3 linked regions of the Zea mays genome follow. The protein of the gene in region 1 binds, or shares a complex with, the protein of each later gene. Links are inferred from orthologs where the notes say so. Each region holds a gene or a part of one and is shown on either strand. Other genes may lie near its edges.

The links. The genes of interacting proteins can lie anywhere in the genome.
Region 2: mediator of RNA polymerase II transcription subunit 14 (region 1) and Mediator of RNA polymerase II transcription subunit 21 share a complex: the UniProt entries of both Arabidopsis thaliana proteins name them as parts of the mediator complex. The link is inferred for Zea mays from reciprocal best matches to the Arabidopsis thaliana genes SWP and MED21.
Region 3: mediator of RNA polymerase II transcription subunit 14 (region 1) and Mediator of RNA polymerase II transcription subunit 32-like share a complex: the UniProt entries of both Arabidopsis thaliana proteins name them as parts of the mediator complex. The link is inferred for Zea mays from reciprocal best matches to the Arabidopsis thaliana genes SWP and MED32.

What each region holds. Positions count from the first base shown.
Region 1 is NC_050097.1:176,302,507-176,309,011, reverse strand, and holds the start of mediator of RNA polymerase II transcription subunit 14, read left to right. Parts: upstream 1-3,148; 5' UTR 3,149-3,642; coding exon 3,643-3,897; intron 3,898-6,505. UniProt on the Arabidopsis thaliana protein: Component of the Mediator complex, a coactivator involved in the regulated transcription of nearly all RNA polymerase II-dependent genes.
Region 2 is NC_050099.1:37,997,897-38,004,401, forward strand, and holds Mediator of RNA polymerase II transcription subunit 21, read left to right. Parts: upstream 1-2,462; coding exon 2,463-2,756; intron 2,757-3,399; coding exon 3,400-3,471; intron 3,472-3,568; coding exon 3,569-3,620; intron 3,621-3,691; coding exon 3,692-3,768; 3' UTR 3,769-3,778; intron 3,779-3,952; exon of another isoform or gene 3,953-3,955; 3' UTR 3,956-4,210; downstream 4,211-6,505. Other genes in the region: putative X8 domain containing family protein isoform 1 precursor, read right to left, coding at 4,484-4,509, 4,605-4,877, 4,952-5,021. UniProt on the Arabidopsis thaliana protein: Component of the Mediator complex, a coactivator involved in the regulated transcription of nearly all RNA polymerase II-dependent genes.
Region 3 is NC_050101.1:142,576,615-142,582,972, reverse strand, and holds Mediator of RNA polymerase II transcription subunit 32-like, read left to right. Parts: upstream 1-2,044; 5' UTR 2,045-2,163; coding exon 2,164-2,607; intron 2,608-3,850; 3' UTR 3,851-4,063; downstream 4,064-6,358. UniProt on the Arabidopsis thaliana protein: Component of the Mediator complex, a coactivator involved in the regulated transcription of nearly all RNA polymerase II-dependent genes.

The sequences.
Region 1 (6,505 bases):
CTTTGAAATGTTTTTCAAACTTGAAACGATAAGCTAGTCGAACAAGTTCATGCTTCTTCTTCGTTTCTTTCATCTTCGGCATTCCCCAGCCACTTGACATTGGATACGTCCGGTTGGCCAGATATTCCTGCACCAGGTTCCTGGTACTGATTTGCTCAGCCACCACTCTGAACTCTACTTAGGCCAATTGACATGGTGACCCCAGTTGCATGTTACATAGGGGTCTGGTCATTCCGAAGTTCAAAGACAGCGGACTCATGACCATTGTCATCAGCTTCTCTCTTTTTTTCTCATCAGCCTTCATGTAAAACCATTAATTTTTCCAGCCGGTTGGCCACTTTGTGCGGTAGCTGAGGACTGGTGCCTTCGTATCTTTTTAATACGCAAAATTATAACAACCAAAATTTTTGTGAAGGCCATCTGCCCTGACCTTCGTCTAATAGTGCAGCTCGTGCACTCGGCAGAAAGCTTCAGCATCTGGGCTCATCCCTTGGCTTCGGAGGGCCCAGATAAAAACGCTAAGCCTAACAATGGCGTTAGGAGTCAGCTGATGAAGATATATTTCGAAGTTCTTTAGGACTACCCCAATCATCTCATTCAGGGGAAACCGAAGCCCCGCTCTGAAGAAGCTCTTGAAAACCACTACTTCATCATTCTTCGGCTCTGGGGTAGTCTCTTCTACAGCAAATCGGACAAGTTTGCTTTCAGCTTCACCAAAATAACCCAATTTCATCATCATCGGCATGTCATCCTCCGTCACGGTAGATTTTTCAAATTCAAGTTGACTGGGCTTTGTTGGGATCAAAATACTATAATCTTCTTCACTCTCATCAGCATTTTCTTCTTCAGCAACAGTTTGTTCAGCTTTGGCATCAGGAGCACCTTCGTCAACAACTCCCTCTGTCACAACTAGACCTGATCGTTCCATTACTTCTGAAATTGGTGTCGTTTCAGTAGCTTCGGTTTTGTCTCTCTCACGAGACACCCTTGCAGTTGATTGCACTCTGGCCATTTTGATAGATTTTTACAGTTTGACGAAGCTAACCCGTCTGACGAAGTTAACCTTAAAACGATGAAGTGCAATGACAATGAATGTTTTGGTAACTCTTCACCAACCCGTCTGTTTATATAGTGCTGCAGGGGGAAGGCAAACCGCCAGGCTGCCTGCGCTCGCTGAATGGTGGACCGCTCGACGCCTGGAATATTATAATCGTTTCTCGGCAACGAGCTCAGGGAAGGTGTTTTTCGGACCTTCGGCATTCCGAAGCCTTCGAGTTTTTTCGCGGATCGAGCTCATTACGAAAAACGATCTACACCGCGAAGGGGCTATTGTTGGGGGCCTTCTTCTTCGCCGAAGGTCCCCTAAGCAAAAACACCTTCAGCAAGGTGATATGCAAGCAGGCACAACATGAAGATATATGCCGAAGCTACAGTTGAAAGAGCTTCGGCATGATGACACGCTTGAGACGAAGGGCAGCACCGACTTAGAGAGGAAAAGATCGCTTAGTCCCTGATAATTTGTGTCATGGTTATAACTATGAAGGATACAAATGTAATTTTGTCCGAGCTGCGTCCTGTGCCTATAAATAGATGAACAGTACCCATGTATTGTTCACGCTGACTTATAATCACTTGCACATCACTCTTTCTAAAATGATTATTCATACTTTCTCTATGTTTCTTACGATCGTGTTTATATCTCTGTATATTGCAATGAAGAAGGTATGTCCTTCGTAACCTTCGTCCGAAGATCATTATATCCTAAGGGAGATAATGTGATGAAGGACAAAGGTCTATAACCATTAACATTTGTGTTGCCTTGTTCTTGATTCAAAGCTTTTGAGAACAAGTGCCAAACACTCGTCGAGTTCGAGCTTTTTTCCCAGCCCTAGCCACGGCCACGGTCCTGCCCGGTCGGCGGCGCGCGCACGTGTGGCAGTCCTTCATCCTTTTCTCAGCTTCTCAATAGATGCACCAACGGACCACCTATTTAAGTTGATTGAATTGTCCCTTAAACTTCTGGTATTATACTAAAGTACTAGTACACCGTAGCATTAAAATGGGCCTTTAGCATTGACTATTATTGAATATTAATATGGGCCAGACCCACATTAATTCAACAAATGACACTATAAGGTGACTTATGCAACACTACCTCCTTCCAAGAGCACAATAGTTGGAAGCTCTCTTCTCAAGTTACAAACAACACTTTCAAGGCTTTCTCTTTTCCATATCAAACTGTGTCATGAGCAATTATGCATTTGTAGGTATCTTGAAGTGAACTTTGTAATTCCTTAGCACCAATGTGTGGTTTCTTCACAAGGATAGGAAGAGCTTTTAAAGCTACCCAAACACTTGTTAGAGTGCTAGTCCTCCTCCGTCTATTAGATGTACAAATGTGATATCATTTAGCATAATCATCTATAAAAATAACAACAAACATCACTATAAAGGCAATAACGTAAATAGATAAATAAATGTAAAGTTTTTGATATACATAACATACAAATATAGTCGGTGAATCATACCTTTCAATTATTGCATTAATGCTCCAAAGACAGTCACCTCCTCGGCAATAACCTCTGTATTTCTTAGGGCATGTACAGTGGTGTTTAATATGGGGGCTCTTAAGGTGTTTTAGGGGGTTATTTGCAAAAAAATCTTAGAGCCGTCTCTCCGTGAAGAGACGCCTCTGGCTCGTAAACCAAGTAACAACAAACGCCTCACTTCCCACTGTACGAATTTGTCGTCTGTTCTATCGATCTGATGCTATACAAATACATTTAATTCTGTATTTATTAACCGACTACGTTTAGAGACACTCCATTGTACAATAGAGTCTCTTAGTTGTCTCCTGTGCTTAGAGAACCGTTTTGGTGTCTCTCCACTGTACATGCCCTTAGGGCATGTACAACCCAGATACGACTGCACGGTACTTCAAGTATAAGACACAGCTAAAACACAACACAATACAGTGGTCGTGTCTAAAACGTGTGTCTTACCATATTCATTGTACCAATCAGAGCATTCAATAAATTAAAGTGACCAATCAGCTAGCCTCCTGTCTCGAACATAGAGCTAAGACACTGTGTCTTCGTCAAGATACATGTCTTGAGTTTTTTTACATTCACCCCCCTAGACACACTCTAAGACACAACTTAAGATACTCATTGTACATGCCCTTAGGCTACTAGCCCAGGCCTCCGGTTCCGCGTGGGCCCGTCGACTAGGGCGCACTCGCACCCTCCGCCGGTCCTGAACTCATCGATCGCAGAAGCGAGAGAGAGAGAGAGAGGAGGCCGTACCCACGCCGCCGCTTCGCCGCCGCCGACCTCCGTCTCTCGCTTCCACCATCTCTCTCCTTTTCACCCTCTCTCGCGGCCACCCTCGGTCCCCTCCCTGAGCCTTACCCTTGACTGAGTGGTTTCCAATTTCAGTTCCACTCCCTCTTCCACCACTATTCACGGGGAGGCGCGGCGAATCCTGCGAGATTCCTCCCGGCCCACGCGTGCGCACGTTGGCGATACAGGGCTAGAGTTTCGTCTCCGGCGCTTTGCGGAGTTAATTAGGAGAAGGAACTGGAGAATGTGTAGGTGGTGGGCGCTGAAACCCTAGCTGTTCGGGACGGGCGTGCGTGCGGGGATGGCAGGGGAGCTGGGGCAGCAGACGGTGGAGCTGGGCGCGGTGGTGCGGCGTGCGGCGGAGGAGTCTTATCTCGCTCTGCGGGAGCTCGTGGAGAAGTCGCAGGCGGAGGCCGAGGGGAAGGGCATCGGCGCCGGAGCCAATGGCAGCTGGCAGCGGTCCGACACCGAGAAGAAGATTGACTTGCTCAAGTTCATCACACGCACACGCCAGCGCATGCTTCGTCTCCACGTCCTTGCCAAGTGGTGTCAGCAGGTGATGCCTAATTTCAGTCTTTGCTATTTCTCTTGCTTGTCTGTCTCCTTGTCATAATTCTGCTGAGGTATGCTAAGAATTCAATCTGACTGGTGTGAGTGCCTAATATCCTGTTTTAGTTTGGTTTAGTGGCATTGTCTCACCTATCTAGCTCGAGTGGCATGTAAAGAAGGATATTCATAGTTGTTGTCTTATTGCAGTGTAGTGGGATAGTGAAGATTGGTGATTGTTGATGAATTGTGCCAGCATTTTTGCCCCTAATTTTGTAGGGTCTGTACTCCAGTTCCTAGTAGGACACAAATGATTGTTTGGTGGACAAAATGTAATCCAGTTCAATCTTGGCATACTCATTGATTTGTTTATTTTGTTTTGGTGCAGTGGTATTATGAAAAAGCTCAATTTGTTTCGCACTAGAAACTTATATTATTTTTCTGGTGCTGTCATGGTGTGCTCTAGCATAAACGACGAGTGAAATAAGACCGTTTTACAATGTACTTGAAATAGTGCGAACTGCGAACCACCATGCACACATAGATCAGGGGAATGTAAAATCAACAAATATAATTTAATAATTAAACTATTAAACCATTGAAAATGCATTATATATCACGGGAGTCGCGAAAGGGCCTCTAGCCTAGTGGTTAAGGACTTCCGAGTAGCACCTCCAAGTCCTGGGTTCGATTTCCCCCCGGGAGCGAATTTTCAGGCTTGGTTAAAAAAATCCCCTCGCTGTGTCCCATCCGCTTTTGGGTTACGATGTCCTGTGCGCCACCCTCCGGTTGGGCCGTTGCAGAGTGGACAGTTGACGCCGGCCCGTTAGTGATTGGGGGCCAGGGTTCGGGGATTTTCTCGGCCGGGACCATTGTTTCGGTCTCTTCTTAATATAATACCGGGAGGGCGGTCTTTCCCTCCCCGGCCGAGTTTTTTTTTATCACGGGAGTCTCATTGATTTATATTGCTTCCATTTCAAATTGTAATATTTCACTATATGGTTTGAACTGTGGTAATGTGGTTGTTATGCTGTCATAAATATTTGTTTCTAGCATATATTTGGTGCAAGCTAATCCTAGTGCAATCGTGCAAGCCACTTTTGTTTTGTAACAAAATCAAGATGAAGTATTCTGATTTTTATTAGATTGCTCATTATCTGGTTCACATCCATAAAATCCTTTTCTTTTAAATTTAATTGACAACTTGACATATAATTTCTGTGCTACAAATGTAATTAAACGTAGGACAGAAAAATGAGACTGTCTAGTAAAAAATAAGTTGACAAGGACAATGAAAAGTTTAAGATTTCCTTTGTCCCAACCAAGCTTAGATATAGCACTGAACTAGTCCAAAGAGCACTTCCTCAACGGATCCAGAAGTACTGAGGTTGATTTAATGGCATTTTACATCATTCCACTGAGCCAATGGATTCCTTTAAATATGCCCCACTGTACCTTAATTTTGTTGTTATGTCAGGCTGTCAGCTGTGTACCTAGTGCTGAAAGCTGAACACAATGTGGGTTCTGGAGAAGGGGATTCTCAACAGCCTCACCCTCGCATAATTATGCAAGGAGGCTGTTTCAAACATGGTTATTAAAGCGGTAAAACGTTAAAACGTTATGAACCAACTTTTCAACGTTTAAACGTTTAAACGAACGTTGAAACGTCTTTTCAGACTTGACATAGAATTTCAAATATAGAATAAGTTCATACATAAGTTGAGTTCACAAACCAAATAGCATTAGCATAAAAAGAAACATATCAAGTTCAACAACACAAGTTCAACCACACAAGTTACAACTTTTATGCATGATTAGTAACCATCATCGAACTCATCGATATTAAGACCATGAGCATAGCGCCTTGATCGTCACCATCTTTTCCACTATTGCTTCCTTCAATTTCATCTTCCACATCAAGATCATCAAGAATATATTCCTCATCATCTTCATTTGCTAAATTAGTCTCCTCTTCCTCAAGGTCTTCATTCCTTCTCACACACCCACCACCAGCTCTCCTAGGAAAATTACGACCTCTGAGATGTGCAGATGCACCAATAGCTTCATCAACTTGGTCCCATGATAAATTGAAATCATCTCCAAAAGCATTGCTAACATGAGAAGAATTAGCTAATGGATCAACCCATTCATTGTCCCAATCAAAGTCTTCTAAAATCAAAGGATCAAAGTTTTTTCCTTCCTCATGTATTTTTTGAAACCTATCAGCCATCTTTCTGTTGTATGAAACATATACCAAGTCATTCAACCTTTTGTGCTCTAACCTATTCCTCTTTTTGGTATGCATCTACAAGTGCAAATGGGCACTGGCAGTTGGCGCAGAGGTGATGCAGAGCGGTTGGCGCAGAGGTGAGGCACTGGTGGCTGGCGCAAAGGTTACAGGCTAGTCCCTCAGCTGCTGGTCTGTGAAGCAATGGGCACTGGCGGCTGGCGCAGAGGTAGCAATGGGCTGGAGCAATGGGCTGAAGCAATGGAGCGGCGGCGGCTGGAGCACTGGGCAGCCACACTTGCGGCGGCGCACTGCCCTGTGGGTGGAGGGAAGAGGGGGGAGGGAGGAGGGGGGCCGGCGACGTACCTGGAGGGCGGCTGAGGACGGCCGA
Region 2 (6,505 bases), on another chromosome or scaffold:
TGAAATAGAATTAGGAGGTAAAGTGGCATACCATGCAAACGCGGTTCCTGTTAGAGATAATGAAAACAAACGTACGCGAAATGCCTCCGTGTCAGCCAATTCTCCTAATTGTGCTAAAAACTGGCCTATGTGTTCACGTGTTCTTTCCTTGATCACCCGAAAATTTTGCGAATTCGGGTATCCTGGTTCCCTGTGGGTATGGGTGGTGATCAAATCGGCTGTCATAAGGTCTCCGATATGATTGCCCCTCAGGGACCATGCTTACTCCGAGCTTATCTCGGAACGCCCCGGCTATTTCTTCCCTTACTATATCAATGGCAGCCGGTGCAAGACCACCGGCTCTCTGGTCAAACATAGGTGGGGTTGGTTGTATGTTAGTATGTTGTCTTTCTCTCCATTGGTTTGAGCTACGTGGTGCATTGCCACTTGCCCTATATGGTTCATATGTTTGATCGTTCCTTTTCGGCCTTCTAGGTGGGACCGGAAAGTTTTCCTGGCCTCTAGATCTCGAATTAATGTGTTGATGCATTGCATAGTGCGATGGGAAGTGTTGCTGGGATGGGCGAGGATTCAGGTAATAATCCTCCTCAAAAGACTCATGCGCGGACTGTCCGGATACGTACCCGGACCGTCCGTGGTTATATGCGGACCGTCCGTCGTTGTATGCGGATCGTCCGACTAGGTAGTTTGGGTTCTGTGTCATATGTGGTGGCTCGGGTGCGTGTCTGGGTACTTCATTAAAAATGGGTTCGGCCGTGGCTGGCCCGGACGGTCCGCGCTCACGTGCGGACGGTCCGGACATGTGCAGATCGGCTGTTTTGCTGCCGATTTGCGGTTGCTCAGGGTACGTGTCTATCGGCATCCCATAAAGGGGTTGTGACTGGTCGTGACAATCTACAACCGATGTATTACGCGTGTTACCCCCTAATTCTACCTCGTGTGATGGAAAATTTGCAATGCTAGATTTGTCAAATGCACGCGCTAATCTCCTATAGTCGTTTTGCATATCCCCTATGATATTTTGCATTTGTTCACGCTGTTCATCTACATAATTCTTAAGAGATTACAGCTCGTTTGTATTACTTACATTGGGGATGTCTGGCGTGGGTCGCAGTGAAGCCGGATCTGTCGCCCGATGTCGGACGACTTTGTTGTTCCTGTCCACTTTGAAGTTGGCCAAGAACCTCGCTTTTGCCTCCTGGATCATCTGCTCCTTGTGCTCCTCGAACTGGAGCTGTTCGTCAGCCGGCAAGGTCTCCTAAGTCGGCTCTATGATGTTGCTTGGGGAAATATTAGAGCTATCTCTTGAACCGGCCATTGAGGGCCGATTTGATGCGTCTATATTTGTGTCCCCAGCGGAGTCGCCAAAAAGTATGTTGACACCTTTTTGGAGGCGCCAATCACTTAAAAAAACCAGCGGCGGTGCTCTCTGGTCAGGCGCGGACGGTCCGCGGCACAGGACCGGACGGTCCGCGACTTGGCGCGAGGCGGTGGTGCTCTCTGGTCAGGCGCGGACGGTCCGCGACACAGGGCCGGACGGTCCGCGACCTGGCGCAGGAGCTAAGGTTCCCTGCCTGACGGCCGGATGGTCCGCGCCCTAGGGCCGGACGGTCCGCGCGTGCGCAGGGGCGGCGGGAGATCGCCGGCGGCGCCTGGATCTCGCTCCCGGGAGGGACCCCGTCGGGGAGGAGAGATCCTAGGTGGTGTCTAGGCTCGGGTAGACTGACCTAGACTTCTCTAATCGACGTAGAGTCGAGGAGAGGCGGAAGATTTGGGGATCGAGAGGCTAAACTAGAACTAGACTAGAACTACTCCTAATTGTACAGGAAATAAATGTGAAATATAAGTTGTATTGATTCGATTGATGATTACAAATCGGCCGTATACCTCTCTATTTATAGAGGAGGGGGCTGGACCCTTTACAAACTAATTTCCGAGCTTTTCCCGCGATTTTAGCTAACAAACATAGCACAAAACTCGGAACCCTAATTTACTCTGCGCACGCACGGACCGTCCGGCCCACAGGCGCGGACTGTCCGGACCGCGGACTGTCCGGCCTCCGTCCGCGCTCCTTTTGGTGCCAAACAATTTATAATTTTGTCACTCTCAGTTTTGACTTTATTATATTATCCCATATCTATAACTGATAGAATCATCTGTGTCTATAATTTAGGGTCCGACGTCATATTAATGAAGCCTATAAATGACAATGGTAAAATTGCCGATGGCTCAGCATTCTGCAAATGTGTGGTGACCGGAAGACTTGGTGGTATCCCAGGAATATGAGCGAGCATCTTTTGAATACCGGCACATACATTTTTTAGATCCGGCCTGGTCCATGCTACGTGGGCTGGATCCTGCAGACCCATTCCTGGATGAAATCGGCCTGCTACAATAAAGCCGCCGTCCTGCAAGTCTGGGACGGAGGAAGGAGAAGAGGGAGAGAGTGGTGGGGATTCGGCATGGACATCATCACGCAGCTGCAGGACCAGCTCGACGAGATGGCCGTGCTGGCCGTCAACACCTTCGGCACGCTGCAGAGGGACGCGCCGCCGGACCGCCTCTCCAGCAGCTACCCTGACCCGCTCAACCCCAACCCTAAGCCCGAGGACGACTCCAAACCCCAGGTCCAGGCCCAGCCCGGCGCGCCGCCGCCGCCACCGGCGCAGGCGCAGGCGCAGGCGCAGCCGCCCGCGCCTGACCTCACCGAGCAACCCAAGGCTATGAGCCGCGCCCTCGTCCTCGCGGCCAAGAAGGTAGGTACCCTGCCCCACTTCTCTTCTCGGTGTCCCCATCTTCTGGACCAAATGCCCGCCCGGTGATTCCAAAATATCTTTGTGTGGTTAAGTAGAAAGTTTCGGCTCGCTTCGTAGTTTTACTCGTAAGTCTGATGCTGCGAATAAGTGAAGGACCAACTGTTTAATTTTTGCTTGCTTGCCCGCGTTATGTGGAGACAAACAATGAAACCGTGTTGCCACTTACTAGTCTTCATATCTTGCTCCATTGCATAAGATAAGATGTTTATCCCAACAGTGTACAGAACAATCTTCATCTCTTGCTCCATTACATAAGATAAGATGTTTATCCCAACAATGTACATAACGTAGAGTCTTCATCTCTTGCTCCATTTCATAAGATAAGATGTTTATCCCAACAACAGCGTACAGACGTAGAATCTTCATCTCTTGCTCCATTTCCTAAGATAAGATGTTTATCCCAACAACAGCGTACAGACGTAGAGTGATGCATACGGGAGGGAGGGAGTGAGGGAGATCACTTTGTGTTAACCATGGTTGAAAACTTGAAATGTAAAGACTGGCAAACTTTAGTTCAAATTATGCTTGCTGCAGTTCCAACTTTTTCCCCTTAAATGAGGAACAATTATGGCCTTCTATGCAGTTTGATGCACTTGTTGCAGCAGTGCCACTATCATCAGAAGAGGATCAAGTGAAAAGAATCCAAGAGCTACAGGTAGATATCAGACAGTCAGATTAATTCATCGAGCACAGGATGGGCATCTGCCAAACTCCTACTCCAAATAAACTGTATGAAAATCTGAAATTTGCAGGCAGAGAATGAAGTCGTGGGACTGGAGCTCCAGAAGCAACTTGAAGCTGCCGGTAACACGATCCCCACTGTTTCTAGAGTTCTTACTATTATATGTCTAATTACTGATGTCATTGCGTTACAGAAAGGGAGTTGAAGCAGGTTGAGGTGCTGTTTAATGAAGCAACAGACAATTGCATAAATTTTAAGAAGCTAGATTAATTACGTTAATGTAAGTTGAGATGAATTTCTTCCTACAACTTATCAATGCACTGTCAAAGTCAATTTCTCTTTTAATTTGGCTCCAACAGTTACTTCTTGGTTTTGTATGTATTTGGCATCAAGTGTTGGAAACCGATCTAGCTCATAAGATATTGTGTTGACGTAAATCCAATGTCTGCCATAGCAGGTTTGCTGAAAAGAAACTGTTCCTGTGGATGGAGTGTGGAGGATGAATGCCAGTAAGAACTTTATATTCCGTCTTTTCAGATTCTCTACTAGTGAACAATAATTGCACTTAGCTTTTGTGTACTGGCATTCTGATCTGCCGGATTAGGATTGACCTTTGGTTGTAAGGTGCAATGTTTTTAGTATGAACTGACGCTTGAACTGTGGTGGTCTTTTTAATGGATCTGGCACCTGGCTTCCTCTGGGATTTCTTCTATATTTTGGTATTTGTTCAGTACCTGAGACCTTTGACACCTGTTCCTAAACTCCCCTCCAGCCACTGGCCTGGAGTAGAACTGTATTTGGGAAATAAAAGCACGGAAATTCTCTCTACAGTGCTCAGACATGATACTGGTTGGTTCTGCAAGGATACTCCCTGCTCACTCACACAGACACAATAACAAAACAAAGAGAAGGAAAAGATGCATCATTCCCCTACAGCCTTATTCATCGTCCGTTGAGCACAGCAGCAGCAGAGCAGCCCGTCGTGTCAAGCATATTTGCAGGTGCCAAGGCCTGCAAGAGGATCCAATGATCCATCATCCGGTGTCAGCTCCCCCAACACGGTTCACGGGCAATGAGACACTCACAGCAAGCAAGGAAGCACTCACTGGGGTCAGTGATGGTGATTATGCCGGTGCCGTTGAAGAAGCAGTTCCACGAGTTCCTCCCCCGGGCCTGGTAGTAGGCGTTCATGGCCACCGACGCCCGCGACAGCAGGCTGTCGGGCTGGGCGCAGCCGCCGGTGCCCTGGATGGCGCCGCAGTCGCTCTCGGAGCAGGCGAACTCCAGGTTGCCCCGCAGCGCCGCCTCCTGCGTCGACGGCTTGGCCACGCACCATGTGTCGCTCCTATGGTGCAAGGTTTCTGCCGCCGCCGCTGCTGCTGAAGAAGATGGGATTTGATTTCAGTGCCAGATTGTTAGTGGATAAAGCAGCCAGAGACGAGGGATCCTTTACCGTCGGTGTGAAGCGCCGATAGTGCGAGGGCCACGAAGAAGGCAAGGAATGTGACGTTGGGTGACGCCATTTCTTCAGGCTTCTGGACCAGAGACTGCAAGAAAGAAGCAGCCTGTCTTCCCGTGTAGAGCTTTGTTGCAACAGCAAACGATGTGTGTGTGTGTGTGTGTGTGTGTGTGTGTGTGTGTGTGTGTGTGTGTGTTTGCCAGAGAACATGACCAAGGATTGGTTGCATTCTAGTCAAATTTATAGGGAGGAGGAGGAAGGTGAACAGGAAGAACAAGCAGCAGCAGGCCAGCAGCACAAAGGCCGTGTCTAGAAACGGTTGGTTTTAACGCGTTTTATGGCCACATTACACCGGGGCCGCCACATTCAGTATCCGGTCATGAAAAGGATAATAATCAGTTGACGTGAAGCTGAACGGCAGCAGTCTGTACGGAATTGCCGCACATGCAACGGAATGCACTTTTGTCAGTCCAGTCAAATGTTTACCTTGCATCATAATTCATGAGAACGTCAATAGGCCTTTATATGATTTCTATACAATTTAGTTAAACCTAGAAAAGTTTCACTTAAAACAAAATTTAAACATCAAACAACATTAGAACAACATGTGATTTGAAATGATCATCTAAAAAGACAAGCGCGGAAACATCACTTCTGTTGGGTTCTACTCACATTATTAACACAAATTGTTCCAAAATTACATGATGTACCGTTTCAAATATATATTACAAAATGGATTTTGTTTTACAAAAAAAAACTACTCCATGTAAGAAGGCAGAGCTTTAGCGAATATGATCATACTCTAAACTAAACCAAGATAAAAAAATGTCTCGAATTTTTTTTGTTGGCCCAAATAGAGAGAAACACACGTCAGCCGTCGAGCACGCTGATATGGCAAACGGTTCAAAGCAGTAAGCAATAGCATACAAAAAAATCATTAGAAAATACACCCTCTGTTCCAATTTAAAATTTATTTGACTTTTTTATCGTGTTTGATTGGCTTGTCCTATCCATTTTTTACGAAAAAATAAAAAATTAAAAGCCACATTTAAAATATATTATATGTTAAATAATATCATAATAAAATTAATAATATTTATAATTTTTTTAATAAGACGAGCCGATCAAACTTAGGGTAAAAAAGCCAAACGAATTAAAAATTGGAACGGTACAATTGTGTGAAGGGAGAGAGAGAAGAAGAAGAGGCGCGGAGCGATTGATAAGATAGACCACATGTCGGCGTTTCGAGACCGGGGGGTCCCTAAGCCGACGAGTGAATGTGCCGCGTGCCCCAGCCCAGATGGGTCGAGCGCGTGGGCGAGCGCGAAGGGGGGAAGCGAGGTGGCCGGAGACGGGCGTGAGAGAGGTGGAAATCCCGCGGCCTTCGTGTTCGTCCCGCGCCCAGGTCGGGTGCGCTTGCAGTAGGGGGTTACAAGCGTCCACGCGGGTGAGGGAAGCGAGCGACCCCAAGAGAGCGCCTATCTCGTCCTCGTCCCCGCGCGACCAACCTTCTCTAAGAAGGCCCTGGTCCTTCCTTTTATAGGCGTA
Region 3 (6,358 bases), on another chromosome or scaffold:
TTCCAATGATATTTAGAACGTCCAAAACAGAGTCCGTGTGTGACTCGAGCGTCTATTTTTGTGAGGGCTACTCCTGCACCCCAAACCAGACTTGCGAATAAATTGGATTTCAACTCCACTTTAGCTTAGAACCCTATCATTGATTGTCTTGATCATGTAGTTGGTGTTCATGTCCTCATCAAACCGGATCTTCGTTCCTTCGATTTATCCCTTGATAAAGGATATATCGAACGAATAAGACCACCATTATAATAGGTTTAAGAGAAGTAAAATAAGTAAAGATGATTGATGTCAGACATTACTAATACACTTCTTTTCTTATTTCTACTTAATTACAAATGATTACAATAATACCTTCGAGAGCTTAAGACAACAGTTCGAAGGTAGAAAAGTAATAAAGCTTTGAAGGCGGAGCGATTTCGATCCGGCAACGTGTCCTGTGTATGACATTGTGTCTATATTTATAGTGACGATTCGATGTACAACTTCATATGAAGTTATAATCATGCTCTCAAACCATATACAAGTAACCACAAAATTTGCCTGGGGAATCATCGTTTTTGTCTTCCAAAGCCTTGGTGCACACATCGGTGAGTCCTTTGTTCGTTTTCTTGTCATTCGCTTCGAGTTTGGCGACATGCTTTATCTGCACGCTTAAGCCAAAGCTTCTTCTGTTCCTCTTTTAACCTGCATTAGCGACCTTCGGCAAACATGAATTGGTTGCTCTCGGAATAAATGATAAAGTGGTTAAGATTAGTTGATTTTAATTAAGGACCTCCTGCAAAGGCTTACCCCCAACAATTGCTTTCAATGTACGGTAACGTTTAATATACTACGTATTGTGTATTAATAGAGTGATTCACTGATAATAACACACCCATTTGGTTACATGTCAAGCCAGATGACATGTCTAGAACTATCTAATCAGAGTCACAATCAATAGGGACAATCGTAGCAGTAAGCCAACACACCACTCAGCTCTTCCTACATTCAGTGGCGGATCTCCAACCGAGGCTGGGGCTGCCTGGGCTGCAGCCCGGTCGCGGCCCAAAAATCAGCGAATAAGCCCATCAGCTCCAGCCGCGCGACCGCGTGAACAGCCTCCCAGTCGTAGGTCGCTCCTCCTCCCTCTACCCACGAGCTTCAGGCCTCCAACCGCCCACGCCCCGACGCCCGGAGCACCGCTGCAACCCGCAGCGTCGCTCGCCCGGAGGCCGGACCGCCGGAACACCGCCGCTAGCCCCGCCCGGAGCACCGCCTTGACCACGCCGCTGTCCAGCCGCCACTCCGCGCTCCCTCCTTCTGCTAATTCGTGGAGCTCAGGTTTGTACACACGCGCTGAGAAGAAAGTGTGCTTAGCTATTAGCTTGTTCTTGCATTGGAGTGATGAGCCAGACAGCCAGTGATGTATGGCCTTGCCATAATGCCATGCGCGGTGTGCGGCGTGTGCCAATGCCCCTCCAAGCTTTCTGTTGGGGGTTCCTTGTTCTGTTGGGAGTTTGGGACGATGAAGGAATAGGAGGCCAAGAGAGTTTCTGCTAATCTGTGACAGATCATGCAGGAATAGGACGTCCCATGCGAACTGCGAAGCAGAAGCAACGAAGGTGAAGCTGTGATCTGTGAAGCAGACAAGCAGTGAAGGTGAAACATGTGCTATTGTTTGCTTTAAGTTTGATTTGAAATTTTGATTTGATTATTTATTTGGTAGTAATCCCATGCTTATAAGAATAGGATGGATAAATTTTTCATCAAGAACCAGAAGAAAGATGATTCTAATTCTAAAACAATTAGGATAAACGAGAGTCTTGTAAAAAAAAGACCACGTATAGTAGCTCTGGATCCGCCACTTCCTACGTTCTGTCCGCACGATTGATCGCGAGCTTCCCAACAACACGCGTCCAATAATGTAATTTTTAGAATTTATTTACTATACGGTCTGGGAAAACAATATTATTTTTTTAGAAAAAAATCCATGCCTACAATCTCTAGCCCTGGTCCAGATGCGTATGTCGAATAAAAAGGCCCATCCTGATCTCGACCCGATATCGATTGGGCCATTTCGGCATTTCCTGTTTTCACGCTTTGCTTTCGGTTTCGGGGTCGTCGTGTCGAATTGGGGGCTGAGGCCGAATTGGATCGTCAGAAGCTGGGGGTGAGGGAGGGATGGAGGCGACTGTGGACCACCTGAGCGCGGCGTACGACGACTTCATGGCGGCGGCGGCGGCTGTGGTGGAGGCCCGCGTACAGTCGGGCGGCGAGAAGAAGACGGCGGCCACGGACGCCGCGCTCGAGGCCTTCAAGCAGCGCTGGGAGATCTTCCGCGTCGCCTGCGACCACGCCGAAGAGCTCGTCGAGTCCATCCGCCAGCGCATCGGCTCCGAGTGCCTCGTCGACGAGGCCACGGGGTCCGCCTCCGCCGGATCCGTTGCCGCCCCCGGCATCAAGCCCATCAGCGCCGTCCGCCTCGAGCAGATGAGCAAGGCCGTCCGATGGCTCGTCATCGAGCTCCAGCACGGCGCCTCTGCTCAAGGGACCGGCGGCAGTGGCGGTGCCGCTACCCCAAATGCCGGCGCTGGAGGGCAACACCCGGAGGAGGGTGCCCAGTAGGTATGGACTATGGAGTTACTGAATTAAACTAGTAGCATCGCCCTTCTCATATGAAAATTGTAGCATTTTTCCTTCAATAGAAAACAAAGAACTTGTCGTTGCTGTGTTTCTATGAGTGACAGCATTAACCTTGCGTGTTGATATTTGCAAGAACATGAACTAAGGTGCCGTTTGGTTCATATATTTGTAACGTAATGGGTAATGGATAACGTTAAATCATGTTTGTTATAGTCCAACCGTAATCAGATACCGTACTAAAATTTGATACCAGCCTATTCAAATTTGTTACCGCCAGTAATCGAGCGTAAACTATTACCATTACCATTTGCGTTACATTTTTTGAACCAAACAGCACCTAAATCATTGCGATTTGCTGGCTGTTGTTTTTACCTTTCCATTTTGAGATATACTACTACTCAGCATTAATGTCTTTATGCCCATTGGTTATTGCCCAATCTTTACACAGATTGCTAAAATGCTGCTCTCCATAAAAAAAAATTATAGTGTCGTGACAAAGCATGAGAGGTATATAGATCTAATTACATGATGACCAGAAAAAAAAAACCTGGGGGTATAATGCTGCGCCAGTTTTAAGTCTGTACCTGTTTGGACCAGCCAGTGTATGGGGATTGGTTGTTGCAGTTTTTGATTTTGAGTCAACTCTTTTGTTGAGTGAAGAGATAAGGTTGGGAACTTGGGATCCCTGGTTTGAGATAGACAAAAAAACTAAAAAAGGGCTGATCCAGTGCTGGAGGCTCTCACACGAGTGGGGTCTAGGAAAGGGATGAGCTTCGAACTCACGACTTAAATTAGGTGCCGTTTGGTTCCTAAAATGTAACGTAAATGGTAACGGTAATGATTTGCATTCGATTACCAGGGGTAACAAGTTTGAATAGGCTGGTATCAATTTGTAGTGTGGTATCCAATTACAGTTGGACTTAAACAAACATGATTTAACGTTATTTGTTACCTATTACATTACAAACATATAAACCAAACAGCACCTTAGTTCCTTTATCGTTCTATAGATCCAAAGTTTTATTCACCACTGCTATGGTCCCTACAGATTCATGATATTTGAGTTAACAAAGCAGTACTGGTTTTCATTGTTCTCAGAGTATATTCACTAGTCATTTTCACAAAAGCACGAACTGAATTGAACAGTAATTTAGTAAGATGGTTACCAAGAAACCAGATATGCCCATCACTGTATCTCAAATGTATGTTAATCTATTATGTGCAGAAAAAAAAGATTTGACTATGCTACATGACAGTATGCTGATAAACTATTGGAAGTAAGCAGAAATGTGGAGATGTCATAATCTGTTTGTATCGATATTATAGGATCTGTAGACAAAGTACAATTTCACAATTTGATGGCTGCACTCAAGAGAATTGGCTGAGGACTATGAACTACTCCCTCCATTTCTAATTATAAGATTTTTTGGCTTTTCTAGATCAATAGTTTTTGCTACACACCTAGAAATATATTATGTATAGATACGCAAAAGCTATGAACCTAGAAATGCCAAAATGTTTTATAATTTGGGACAGAGGAAGCATTAGCAGAAAAAACATGCGTTTACATCCAACATGGATTAAGACGCGTTAACGCATTATCATACCAAAAACATAGATGATATGGTGAGCAAAGTGCATTATCATACCAACAACAGTAACATGGATTAAGACCACAACTGATTGTTAAAATTTGGCCACTGACTCAATATAAGCAGTGTACCTAAAAAATAGAGCTGAAATGAGATAATCTGTACAGAAACTTTAAAGGTTGTAACCAATGCCAAATTCAGAAAATAGAGCTAGATAAAATATTAGCTCCATAAGTATACCGGACTTTGATAAATGTAACATGCTGAATGATACTACTCCGTATCATGTGAGAAAAGGATCTGAGTATCTGGTCGATTAATTTAAGAATATATTAAGACCTGGAACTTCTGAACTTTAAACACAATAAACTAATAACCTAAGAGCATAGTTAAGTTATACTTGGTGTACGAGATCTTAAATCTACATTTGCAGGCCTTGTGCTGCTGTGCACACAAAATCAGGGAACACAAACTCTTAAATCAGTTCTTGAGATTAGAACCTACTTACATCTCTCTAGCATAGTCCTGTAAGCACTATTGCATTTTTCTCTTGTTACAAAAGAGACATGCCTCTGCATATCCAGTCATAGCAAAGTTAAATTGAAATAAATGCCATGAAATATATAATACTCTATTAAGAACTTAATGTGGGCACCTGTTGTTACCATGACTTCACTCCTCCGCGCTGACACTCTGGGTCCGCCCCACGCATGCCGCGCAGCTAATGTGCCTACCCAGTACTTGACCCCGCCCGTGCAGCTACCACACCGTGCAAAAAATAGTGCAAACCGAGCACTCGAACCCACACTTCCTTGCTTCGGAAATTCAGGGCTAACAATCAAACCACACTTACCTTAATGTTTAGAAATAAACAATAATTATATTTGAATAAATATCTCAATACTTATTTATATGATATACAACAATCGTAGCAAAACACGGAAATAAACAATAATTATATTTAAATAAATATCTCAATACTTATTTATATGATATATAACAACCGTAGCAAAACACGACTGGCTATTAACCTATAAATTGCCATGACATAATGACTACTTCTATTTTAGGACGGAGGGAGTAAATTGTATCGATCCATATTATTAAAAGTATGAATTCCATTCAGTTCAAATATTTTTGCCAAATTATATATGTTAACTTTGGTCTGAGTACCTCTAGAGCCTTTGCTGTTCTTAATGAAACCTTCAAATCTGAATTAAATCTAGGAAAATGTGAGCACTCAAGTTAAGTTGACGACTTGAATCCGTCCTAGTTGATAGGTTGCATGACAAAAAATCGAACCAGTACGCTGAAATGACTATGCAATTAATCGACCTAAGCGCATGTACAACCCAATTAAATAAGGGATCGCTTGAGTGGTCTATAGTAGACTAAGTGAAAAAATTAAGTGGCGGGCTTCTCTATACATAATATGTCTTGACTGTATTTATTATCTAGGGGTTTATGATTATATCATACAATTTTTTAGCTATCTTTTATATTTGGAAAATCATTCCAAAGGCTTAGAGTTTTACATGCCCTAAGGAACATTGTCCCAAACTCACAATGTCAATCCACAATTCCTATTGTCGAGGTAAAGACAATGCACTGGGAGAATGCTCTTCCTAACATGTGGGTACATTCCGTTGGGACCTCTATTGCCATAAGCCCATAAAATGCATCATCTGACTTCATTACCAATGGAAAATCCTCGTCAACAACAAATGTTGTTGTTACAGGAATATTGCAATTCTTGAGATTTGGTTATATGCAACAATTGATACAAATAGCACCGTCATCGTGGTACGACATCATAGTACATGAAGTACCAAAGAGAAAAAAAGTTATTGGAGGAGAGGGTACGTAGACGAGCAGTGTGGTGGGTCTGGGTAGGAACGGAAACTAGCACGTAGGTTGTTTAGAGAGGTTCTATCTGTATTGTGCGCAATACCATACATTATCTTGCTATCCATCGATTGATGAATATAAAGGTGAACATGATTACAAGTTCAAGGATTAACTGAGCACCATGACCTCTTAGCTCCCCCTTTTCACTTTGGTTCCGATGGGAATTGTACCATTTTGGTCCATAATTCACCTTTATGTGTTCCCTTAGACATTGCACTCTTTAGATGAAGTGG